Oryzias latipes: one gene and its partners. The protein of the gene in region 1 binds, or shares a complex with, the protein of each later gene. Links are inferred from orthologs where the notes say so. Each region holds a gene or a part of one and is shown in the gene's direction. Other genes may lie near its edges.

The links.
Region 2: the proteins of wdr59 (region 1) and seh1l are in contact, whole or in part, in a cryo-EM structure (PDB 7UHY), measured with the Homo sapiens proteins. The link is inferred for Oryzias latipes from reciprocal best matches to the Homo sapiens genes WDR59 and SEH1L. Residues at the interface, in NP_085058.3 of Homo sapiens: Pro713, Asp714, Glu716, Thr717, Pro718, Arg721, Arg837, Glu840, Gln843, His844, Asn847; in NP_112493.2 of Homo sapiens: Asn308, Tyr309, Met310, Asn312, Lys314.
Region 3: the proteins of wdr59 (region 1) and mios are in contact, whole or in part, in a cryo-EM structure (PDB 7UHY), measured with the Homo sapiens proteins. The link is inferred for Oryzias latipes from reciprocal best matches to the Homo sapiens genes WDR59 and MIOS. Residues at the interface, in NP_085058.3 of Homo sapiens: Tyr871, Arg876, Glu877, Arg879, Ala880, Glu881, Leu883, Lys884, Pro889, Pro890, His893, Lys894, Gly895, Ile896, Glu897, Phe898, Gly899, Val900, Tyr901, Arg906, Glu908, Val909, Arg910, Thr912, Phe922, Gln923, Ala925, Ile926, Cys927, His928; in NP_001357005.1 of Homo sapiens: Asp705, Trp710, His711, Arg713, Ala714, Ile718, Ser721, Lys728, Pro729, Leu730, Ala731, Gln732, Val733, Phe734, Val735, Ser736, Cys737, Asn738, Phe739, Ile744, Lys780, Pro781, Leu782, Pro783, Leu787, Cys788, Leu789, Gly793, Pro795, Gln819.

What each region holds. Positions count from the first base shown.
Region 1 is NC_019861.2:37,932,332-37,936,081, reverse strand, and holds the start of wdr59 (GATOR complex protein WDR59), read left to right. Parts: upstream 1-1,557; 5' UTR 1,558-1,671; coding exon 1,672-1,725; intron 1,726-3,750. Other genes in the region: RNA-binding protein NOB1, read right to left, coding at 10-215, 602-734, 868-936. UniProt on the Homo sapiens protein: As a component of the GATOR2 complex, functions as an activator of the amino acid-sensing branch of the mTORC1 signaling pathway. The GATOR2 complex indirectly activates mTORC1 through the inhibition of the GATOR1 subcomplex.
Region 2 is NC_019874.2:7,223,920-7,227,669, forward strand, and holds the start of seh1l (nucleoporin SEH1), read left to right. Parts: upstream 1-1,530; 5' UTR 1,531-1,644; coding exon 1,645-1,755; intron 1,756-1,868; coding exon 1,869-1,919; intron 1,920-2,002; coding exon 2,003-2,149; intron 2,150-2,236; coding exon 2,237-2,448; intron 2,449-2,679; coding exon 2,680-2,778; intron 2,779-2,846; coding exon 2,847-2,987; intron 2,988-3,094; coding exon 3,095-3,249; intron 3,250-3,750. UniProt on the Homo sapiens protein: Component of the Nup107-160 subcomplex of the nuclear pore complex (NPC). The Nup107-160 subcomplex is required for the assembly of a functional NPC.
Region 3 is NC_019874.2:30,589,612-30,592,803, forward strand, and holds part of mios (GATOR complex protein MIOS), read left to right. Parts: coding exon 1-81; intron 82-1,103; coding exon 1,104-1,308; intron 1,309-2,141; coding exon 2,142-2,271; intron 2,272-3,192. UniProt on the Homo sapiens protein: As a component of the GATOR2 complex, functions as an activator of the amino acid-sensing branch of the mTORC1 signaling pathway. The GATOR2 complex indirectly activates mTORC1 through the inhibition of the GATOR1 subcomplex.

The sequences.
Region 1 (3,750 bases):
GCTCCTTACCTTGGAGGGAAAGTGGAAGCCGGGGACGTTGACCGGAGTCTCGGGGTGGCGCGGCGTGCTCTGGATGTTCACCTGCAGCAGCGGCTCCTCCCTCAGGTGCTCCGCCCCCTCGTGCTCCAGCTGCAGCTGGTAGGTCAGAGCCAGAACGCGGATGTCGGTGGCGGACAGACTCGGGTAGTCGCCGGTCTTCTTGGAGAACTCGGTCACTGGAGAACGTCAGACGGGAAAGAATCAACAAACCCAGCCAGCTCAGAAAATGTCCCCCAGCTGAGCAGCAGCCCAACAGCTGTCAATCTGCACCACTGACCAACGGAGCGGTCAGTGGGCGTGGTCAGAGAGGACACCAGAGGTCAGAGGTCATCTGCCTCCTTCATGGCAGATGACCTCTGATAAAATTTTTCATCATGGAGGTGAAAAAATTCAAAGCCTCAAAAATTTCACACTCAGCATTAATCTCCATGACAACGGTCGAAAGGGGCGGGGTCAGTGCCATGTTTTGGTGCGCGTGGTGCGTTCAGGTGCGGTCTGTGTAATGGTTACAGCTGAGTAAAGTGCCATGTTTTGGTGCGCGCGTGGTGCGTTCAGGTGTCACCGTGTCTGACGTGCTCCGGATGCGGCTCCCTGAAGTGCAGCTGGTACGGCAGCACAGCCAGGCTCCTCCGGGTCTCTTTGTCCCGGATCTCGTCCACCACATCCCGCAGCGTGTAGATGTTCGCTCCGATCTCCTGGATCACAGATCAGGGCCTCAGATCCGGACACGCCGATGCCCCCCCACCCCCCACACCCACATTCCGGTCTCGCGGCATCTCCCAAATACCTGCACACCCTCTCACCTGTCCGCGGATCACGTGTTCTCACCTGTAGAGGTGCTCTCTTCAGAAACGCACCGGCGTCAGCGACAACATGCTCCACCAGGGTCGGCGCCATCTTGGTAAACGAGCAGCCACATCAACGACCAATCACAGGGCAGACGGCTGTCACGTGCCTCGAGCTTTCAAGCGCACTGGGAAAGTGAGGTTGGCTTCCACGTGACCGGCTTTGATTACCATGGTGATGCCTTCACTGCCTCTTCGGAGAATTCAGTATTTAAAATCACCGAATTGTTTTGCAATTTCAAATATTGTTCAGCTTTGACGAAAAATTTTAAAATGTTTTTTCAAGTTAAACTGTATTTTTATTTAGAAATAAAAATGTTTTGCAGTTGTGGAAATGTGAAGATTTCCACAGATCTAAGCAAAAACAAAAGGAAATTTCAGGAATTTATTTCTGAGATTGTGTATAATTAGAACGTTAACATTATTCTAGATTGAAGTGAGAAAATTAAAAAAGGTTGATCAGGAAAAAGATTCCTCATCAAGTTTATTTATAGAGCAGTTTAACACAATTAAATCTAAATAAAACTCTGTACATTAAAAGCTTAACAAAATAAAGTCAAATTTAATAAATAAATGAATAAAAACATAAAAGCCAAAATGAACGAAAACATAAAGATTAATTGATTTAACCAAAAAATAAACATTTACTGTTTCAGGTTTTTCACGTGTTTATTAATCCATGCACATCTTTTTAGGGGGAATCCTTAAACCTGATATGCTTGTGTTGTTGGTTTTTTCTACATCCGGCTCCTTCGGGTCACGTGACATTTGTTGACAGGGAAGGAAGATGGCGGCGCGCTGGAGCAGCGAGAATGTGGTGGTGGAGTTCCGGGACGCTCAGGTGTCGCTTTGGTCTTTATCTGACGTTTCTTTGTTTTTCTCTGACTTTAGAACAGATTTGCTGACAATTTTGTCACATTTTATCCGTTTGTTAAAGTAGAAATACGTTTGTCACGTGGTCTGGACTGAACGGCAGGCGGTTTCTTTGAAGCCGCTTTTTTGTGTTTAGTAATTATTCTCTCCTCTACTGCTGGGGGGTATTCCAGAAAGCAGGTTATGCTAGCTCCCACGATAAGTTTGAGGCTAAGGAAGTTGATAACCTCAGCTTTTGGTTCCAGAAATGGAGGTATGTTTCAGGGTAGGTCAAGTTACCATGGCAACTCATGCTCTGAACGTAACCTGGTCTGGAGCAGGTTTAGTTGAAGGTTAGTTTGTTTTCAGAGAGGTGAAGCAGCATGGCGTGTCCATTTGAAGAGGATTTAGTGGATGAAGAAGCTCAGATAATACTTTTTCCACCATGAGAGGGTGATAAGACCACAAATGGATGTTGGAAAGATAAACTTTATACTTTGATCTAACTTCATTATTTGCTTCAGTTAAGATAAATCATTTTTTTTGTTAGAAATTTTTTTGTTAAAAATAACACGTAGTTTTCAGACAGTTATTTTCCTTTCGTTCAAATTAATTCAATTAAGTAGGTGTAACTTTGATGCTGCTGTTAGATCGGCACCGCAAGGGATTGTGGGAAATCATTCCCTTTGCCTGTCTGGACGGATTTGGGTTAAAGTGTGGCTTTTTGACCAAATGTTTTAGTTGTATAGCTGTTTTACTGTGTTTCTTCGTGTTTGGCCGAGCCAATTTGTCCTACTATGCTTACGTCTCTGCACCATGAGTGAGAGTGAAGGAGAGGATGATGAGTTTATTTAGCACCCCTACAGCTAAGTACTGTTATGACAGTGACGGGAAATTCTTTAGTGAGTTTTTGCACTCGGTGCATTTTTTTCCGTTTCTTTTTATTGTTATAAAAATGAGCATATCTGCCGGCTCAAACTTAGACATATGAAAGTTCAAGAAATATAAGTAATTAAGATGGAAAAAAGATTAATGGAGTAATGTGACATTTAGTTAGATAAATACGTAAATTTGAGTTGTATAAACAATTATTGAGTTTGAATAAATTTAACTAAATTATCTTTCAGCCGTGTTACTTTTTTGATGGACTTATAATTTCTATCCGCCGTCATTAAAATCTCAGACTCCGTCTCAAGTGTCGCGCTTTCTTTTTTTTTCTCCACGCGTTTCCATGGTGACTCCAGAAATCGGCGATCTATTGAGAATGTCTTTATGTACCGTGCGTTAACCCAGGGTTACCAAGTCGAGCGTAATTACGCCAACTCATATCCGGTCTTTTGGAACCGACATACCCAGAGTAAGCAAGTTCAGGCGGATTTCAGCCAGAGTTCAGGCTTAAAGTCAGGCTAGTTTAAACATGCTTCCTGGAATACCCCCCTGATCCCAGCAGCTGAGCTGTTCTTGATCCAAAACTTTAGTAGGAAAACACGTTTTCCAGACGATATCAGGAATAAACTAGTCAGCAGACGCTGTTCTTAACAAAATGAAGACCAAATTCTGAAAGTATTAGAGTGGATGGATCGATTCTCTGAAGCTTCTGGACGAAGCGGAAAACTGATGAAGTATTTACTACAGCCCATAAATATCCACACAGCTGTAAGATTGTTGTAAAAAGTCGAATATTAGGCTTTAGTTACTGCAGAGGAAACATGGACTATGTGTAAAGATGTGATAGAATGATGTCAGACAGCATTTGGCTGCAGAGATGTGACTGTTTGGGAGGAACTCTTGAAAGAAAGTAATAGAGTAACTCTTGAAAGAAAGTAATAGAGTAACTCTTGAAAGAAAGTAATAGAGTAACTCTTAAAATAAAGTAATAGAGTAACTCTTTAAAGTAAGTAATAGAGTAACTCTTAAAAGAAAGTAATAGAGTAACTCTTAAAAAAGTAATAGAGTAACTCTTAAAAAGTAATAGAGTAACTCTTAAAAAGTAATAGAGTAACTCTTAAAAGAA
Region 2 (3,750 bases), on another chromosome or scaffold:
AAGCAAAAATGGCATCAGTGGTGCTCTTACGGGGCATGAAACCATACTGCTGCTCACAGATCTCCACCTTCTTCCTAAGCCTGGCTTCCACTACTCTTTCCCACAGCTTCATTGTGTGGCTCATCAACTTTATTCCTCTATAGTTGCTGCAGTTCTGCATGTCACCCTTGTTCTTAAAGATCGGGACCAGAACGCTTCTCCTCCATTCCTCAGGCATCTTCTCACTCTCTAGAATCCTATTGAACAACCTTGTTAGAAATTCCACTGCTGTCTCTCCTAGGCACTTCCATACCTCCACAGGTACGTCATCAGGACCAACGGCCTTTCCGCTCTTCATCCTTTTCAGAGCCTTCCTAACCTCATCCTTTCCAATCTCTGCTACTTCCTGCTCCACAACAACCACATCTTCCTCCCTTCTTTCCCTGTCATTTTCCTCGTTCATCAGCTCCTCAAAATACTCCTTCCATCTTTTCTGTACACTCTCTTGGGTTGTTAGCACCTTTCCATCTCTGTCCTTAATCACCCTTATCTGTTGCACGTCCTTCCCATCTCTGTCTCTCTGTCTGGCTAGCCTGTACAAGTCCTTCTCTCCTTCCTTTGTGTCTAACCTGTCATATAGCTCATCGTAAGATTTCTGTTTGGCCTTTGCCACCTCTCTCTTCACTCTACGCTGCGCTTCCTTGTACTCCTGTCTACCTTCCTCAGTCCTTTCTACATCCCACTTCCTTTTAGCCAACCTCTTCCTCTGGACGCATTCCTGTACTTCCTCATTCCACCACCAAGTCTCTTTACCGTCTTTCCTCTTTCCAGATGACACACCTAGCACCTTCCTACCTGTTTCCCTGATAATCTCTGCTGTAGTTTCCCAGTCCTCTGGAAGCTCATCCTGACCACCCAGGACCTGCCTCAACTTCTGCCTAAATTCCTCACAAGTTCCTAAATTCCTTTAAGACGTTTTGTTCCTGAAAGTATTTGGAGGAAAGCCTGGAGTGTGACCCACAAACTTATGATAAGTAATAAAATGAAAGAAGTTTCTCTTAAAATAATTCACAGAATTTACCCCACCAATCAATTCATGATAAGATACATTAAAACAATTGATCCTAATTGTCCTTATTGCAAAGAAACAATTAACCGCTTTTTTGGAATTTTACTGAGATTAGAAGTTTACAATTTATTGAAAAACAAATCCACCCCAACTTTACTCTGAAGTATGAATATATCATATTTGGTTTTCATAATAAAAACTTGGCCTCTAATAAAAAACTCATAATTAATCTTATTATTATTTTTGGCAAATTTTATATTCATAAACGTAAATTTCCTTCATCTTCTATTTTTTCCCCTTGTTAATCAAACAAATTGAAATGTATATCAGTAACATCTCCAAAAGTCTTAATCAGAAAGCTGTATGTTTATATGAAAGTTGTAGAAACCTGAATGTTTTTATGTAAAATGCATGTAATATGAATGCTCCCCTGGCATACCTGAAGTTTATTTTGTAAAATTGTGTTTTGTATTGTACTTCCGTTTTGTACAATAAAGTTAAACAAAAAAAGCAGGTCTCAAAGCTGGATGATTTCTGCGGTAGGCCTGCTAACGCGCTGGTGAAGCTATCGCTGGCGGCGCGCTGCTACCGGGATCATGTTTGTGGCTCGTAGTATCGCGGCGGATCACAAAGATCTAATTCACGATGTGTCGTACGACTTTCACGGCCGGAGAATGGCGACTTGCTCCAGTGACCAGAGTGTGAAGGTAAGCTAACGTTAGCCTCTGAGCTCGCGCCCGCGGTCCTCGACTGTGATGAACCGTTCCCGGGCTGCCGCGCGGCCATGTGTCACATTCAGAGCTCTGTTTGTTTTTCTGAGGTTTGGGACAAAAGCGAGAGTGGAGAGTGGCTCTGCACAGCCAGCTGGAAGGTAAAACGCCTCCATCCTCACGCCGAACTCCACCTTCTGTGCTGAACAGATGTGAGCCTCCTCCTCCTGGTTTCTCTCTGCAGACACACAGCGGCTCAGTGTGGAGAGTGACCTGGGCTCATCCAGAGTTCGGGCAGGTTTTGGCCTCCTGCTCCTTTGACCGAACCGCTGCGGTTTGGGAGGAGATTGTAGGAGAATCCAACGACAAGCAGAGAGGCTTGAGCCACTGGGTCAGTGCTGGGTTGGGAGCGGGCAGTTGCAGCGACAACCTGCAGCAGGTGGAGGTCATGTGAGTGTTTCTTGCTTCTCCATTCCAGATTAAGAGGACCACACTTGTGGACAGTAGGACATCAGTGACCGATGTGAAGTTTGCTCCTAAACACATGGGTCTGATGCTGACCACCTGCTCTGCGGACGGCGTGGTGAGGATCTACGAAGCTCCGGATGTGATGAACCTGAGCCAGTGGTCGCTGCAACACGAGATCTCATGCAAGCTCAGCTGCAGCTGCATTTCATGGAACCCCTCCAGGTTATATAGCTTTTTCATATTCTGGATGAGCTGACCAGACCATAAGTTTGATGGAGGTTCAGTTCTGCTCCATGTGTCTGTGAAGCTGGGCACAGAGTGTCATTCTAAGTTTCCACATGGCATTACACACAAACGAAGAGCACGTCTGCGCCACTGCCTGATGACAGGTCGGAGTGAAGGCAGGAGCGGCGGATTTCTGCTGAATCATCTCATCTCATCATTCTCTCCCAGCTCACGGGCTCACCCTTCCATGTTTGCCGTGGGCAGTGATGACAGCAACATCGCGAGCGGTGGGAAGGTTCAGATCTATGAGTACAACGAAAACACACGGTGAGCGTGTTCAGCACACAGCGGCCAGAGATGCAGCGGCCTCCTGACACTTCCTGTTTCTTCTAAAGGAAATACGGCAAAGTGGAGACTCTGATGACTGTCACCGACGCAGTCCACGACATCGCGTTCGCTCCCAACCTGGGGAGATCTTTCCATGTTCTCGCTATTGCAACAAAAGATGTCAGAATATTCAAGCTTGCCCCCATGAGGTGATTGTCATCATCATGTGTTCTGGTGCATTTCTCGAAGCACACAGCTTTTGAAATAAAAGGAGGAAGAAAATGAACAGAAAATGTGTCTTGGTTCTCTGGAACAGGAAGGAGAGCTCATCCACCGGACCCAGCAAGTTTGAGGTGCAGATTGTTGCGCAGTTCGACAATCACAACTCCCAGGTGTGGCGTGTGAGCTGGAACATCACAAGCACCCTGCTGGCTTCCTCTGGGGACGATGGCTGCGTGCGGTTATGGAAGGGTAAGAAGCTGGTCCACCTTCAGCAGGAACACAGACGGCTGCCGTCTGTCGGCAATCGTCTGCAGTGCAGCGACCGTTTTCTTATTTTCCTGAGATGGGTACATGATTAATAGAAACATGGCCTCCTCTGGAGGTTCAGTGTTGGACCTCTAATGCTGCGCTCACAAATTTGCGTTGGCCGCTTCAACTGGAACAAATGTCGGATTCGCTGCTGGCTACCTGTCCAAAAATAGGTTCATAATTGTGACGCATGTGGGAGGAGCTAATGTTTATTTGCCTCATGCGTCTTCTACATGAAAGCATTGACTGTATTTGTCGTTTACAATACATGGACGACACAGAAGTTGAGAGATCAAGTCAGTTTATTTTGAAGAGCTCTACTCTCGCTACCTGATGTGTCAACGCATGTGCGCAAAATACATAAAAGCATTTTACGGTCAGAGTATGTCTTTAAATATTAAATGATGATAAGCTCTTAAATGTTTCACAAAATGTACTGCA
Region 3 (3,192 bases), on another chromosome or scaffold:
GCCTGGAGGTTCTGGCACAAACGGGCCGAGTTTGACATCCTCAGAGGAAAGCTGGACCCCAGCTCCAAGCCCCTCGCACAGGTGATCCACTATTATGGGATGGAGTCCTCCTTCTCTTCTTAATTACTTTTAAGGGTGTCAAACCACACACTCCATGATGTCGAAGCATTCGGATTCTTTTGCTTTTGGACTTTTAGAACAATTTTTTTCTTGCTTTTGAAGCATTTTTGTTTGTTCTAAAGCTACTTTTGTGTTCCGTATTCTTGCTTTCTTTCATTATCAGCATGTAGTTTAGCGTTTTCAGCATTTTAGAAAACACAAATAAACATGTAGGATGTGAAATTCACATCATTTATCTCTGTTCAGGTTTTCTTCAGCTACTTTTTTATTTCCAAATTCACTTTAACAAGATATCATTTTATTTTAGCAGAAGAATCCACTTTAGCTGTTCTTGAATAAGTTTTATGGCCTTATAAGGATTTTTAGAAATCTTTTCTGCTGGGTTACATTGTTTTGCATGGCATTGACCCTAATCATAGATTTATGTAAGTTTTTGTTTTTAACATTCACCTTTTGAAATAAAATAACTTCATCAGCATAGAAAGACAACATCTCTGTGCTTTTGTCTCTCGTGTTTCTAAGTAAAATTAAAAAAGTAAAAAGTTCAAGCTCCTCTCTTCAGGCATTTATCATTTTCACTAAAACTTCTGTTACTTGAGAGTTTTGCTCTTTTGCAAGTGTTGTCCACGTCGAATCTGCAGGAACGATAATGTTACAAACAGGTTTTGAGCAGTTGTTGTGTCATGCCTAAAACGACGATAAAACTGTTTGTCCAAACATGAAATGTGGTTCTGCAAGGCCTCACAAATTCAAGGACTTCTCCCCAGACTGTGAATACACTTGACTTCTGTTCATTTCTTAAGAAGACCAACATTTGTTCCACTTTTTATGCTTCATTAGCAGTATTTGCTGCTGTAAAAAGACTCATTCCAGAACTGTGTGTTGTGCTTGTTGCAGCTTAATCTGTGTCTTTAAACATGCAGACATCTGGTGAGCTTGTTTGGTTTGGATCTTATCAGCCGACCTTTGTTTGCTCCTGGCAGGTGTTCGTGAGCTGCAACTTCTGCGGGAAGTCCATCTCCTACAGCTGCTCCGCCTTGCCCCATCAAGGCCGGGGCTTCAGCCAGTACGGGGTCAGCGGCTCGCCCACCAAGTCCAAAGTCACCAGCTGCCCCGGGTGCAGGAAACCTCTGCCCCGCTGCGCCCTCTGCCTCATGAACATGGGCACGCCGGTTTCCAACTGTCCAGGTGGGGATGTGAAGCAGAGACGGGTGAAGGTACCAAAACTGTCACAGGACTGTAACCCAACAACGTAGCGTCGAGATCTGCTCGGTTGCTACATATTTTCATTTGACGTTTCCTTTCATAACCTGTAGTTCTTTTCCCTCATAAGTGTGTCCGACATTAGTATTTGTAGAGACATTTTTTGTTAGAATGAGCCGAGCCGAGCAGCCGGACTCGTAGCCATTCTTGCCTGCTGGAGCGAGCTGCCGCACTCAGGAGAACCGTGTCTCCCGGGAGATTTGTATCTCCAAGCAGAGGAGGCGGCTTTTAAATGAATAGTCCTGAGAAACCGTGCAAACAATCATGTGAATTTGTGTTTCCAGTCGGGTCCAGACAAAATAAAGGCTGGTGGTTATTCCAGTATAAGTTCATCCATAGCTAAATGTTGTTAGCACGCATGAACCTAATCCTAACCCTTCTGGCTCCATTCTGCCTATAATAAAGCACTGCCTGCACAGATTGAAAAAACTATAAGCGAAAATGCACTTAGTAATAATCATAACAATAATAAAAGCCTGTTTAGAAGATCATCTCGCTCTATGTCAGTGCTTTGTTTGTTTACGACAGTTGTACCGTAATTTGGCCGGATCAATCACTATCTTACACGTCATCGGACCAACGAACAGCCAATCAAATAGTGTGACATCATCACTTACTGCAGGCTGAACAGTTTTGGTACCTACACCGGCCCGCATCACCATAGCACCTCCTCTGCGTCTCTCTGTCATGCAGCTTTTCTGGAAAAGTCTCCTGATCCACCGTTACTCTGCAAACTAAAGCCTCGTTCTTCTCTTCAGGAGCCGGAAAGTCAGAAGAGAAAGCAGATTTGACGAGGGAGAACAAACTCGCCAAGTTCAACAACTGGTTCACCTGGTGTCACAACTGTCGGCACGGTGGCCACGCCGGCCACATGCTCAGCTGGTTCAGGTAGGAACGCCATGGGATCCAAACGCCGCTCCGCCATCTGCTCACGAAACGGTTGTGTTTGCTGGAGATAATGCTGCCGTCGCCTTGACTCCACGCGTTACACAAAGCTGGTACAACAACTGTAATCCTCATTCTGAGAGATTCACAGTCAGATCTTCCCTTTTCTACAGAAAACAGATGTGAAGCTCTATCCTCGAGTTTCATGGGTTTGTTAAAGTCAACAGGATTCTTCACCTTGTTGGTTGTGTAATGTGCATTAGATTAGATTAGATCAGATTCAATTCTTTATTGCCATCATATAAAACCCACTAAAATCAGCAACGATAATCTCTTTATCACAGGTACAACTCCACCAAGTTTTTCATTTTCATTAATTTTCTGTGACTAAAAATAATCTTTTCTGCCCCTTATTTAAGGTTCCTCTCTGATCATCTTCTGATCTGTTTTCAAAGCATCCCAGTGTCTTTTCATAAAAATTATGCCGTTTTTAGCCAAAATATAAAAACGTTTTCCAGGACATAGTTTCTGCAGAGCGGCAGGAGTTCATCTTGAAATTTGTTTTGAGTTGGGGGGGGGCAGGTCTTGGCTCGGAGAGCTCTCTGATTATGCGCTCTTCCACTAGCTTATAGTCCCTCAAACCCCCCCAAACATCTGGCTACAGCCAATTTAGCCGCCATTTTTTCATGAGACATAAGCTGCCATGCTTTGAACCAGTGATTTGTCTGAGTCGAGGTTTCTATGGAAACCCCTCTTGACACTCTGAGTTTGGTGGAAGGCCACACCCCTACTGCTTAAAAGCAGGCCACACGAAATCTGTCAAACGTTTTGAACGTCGAACGTGGGCGCCAACAAGCTCCGCCTACAGAATACATATTATCAAAAAAAAGATATCCGAGCAATATTGGCTATTTTGACCAAAAG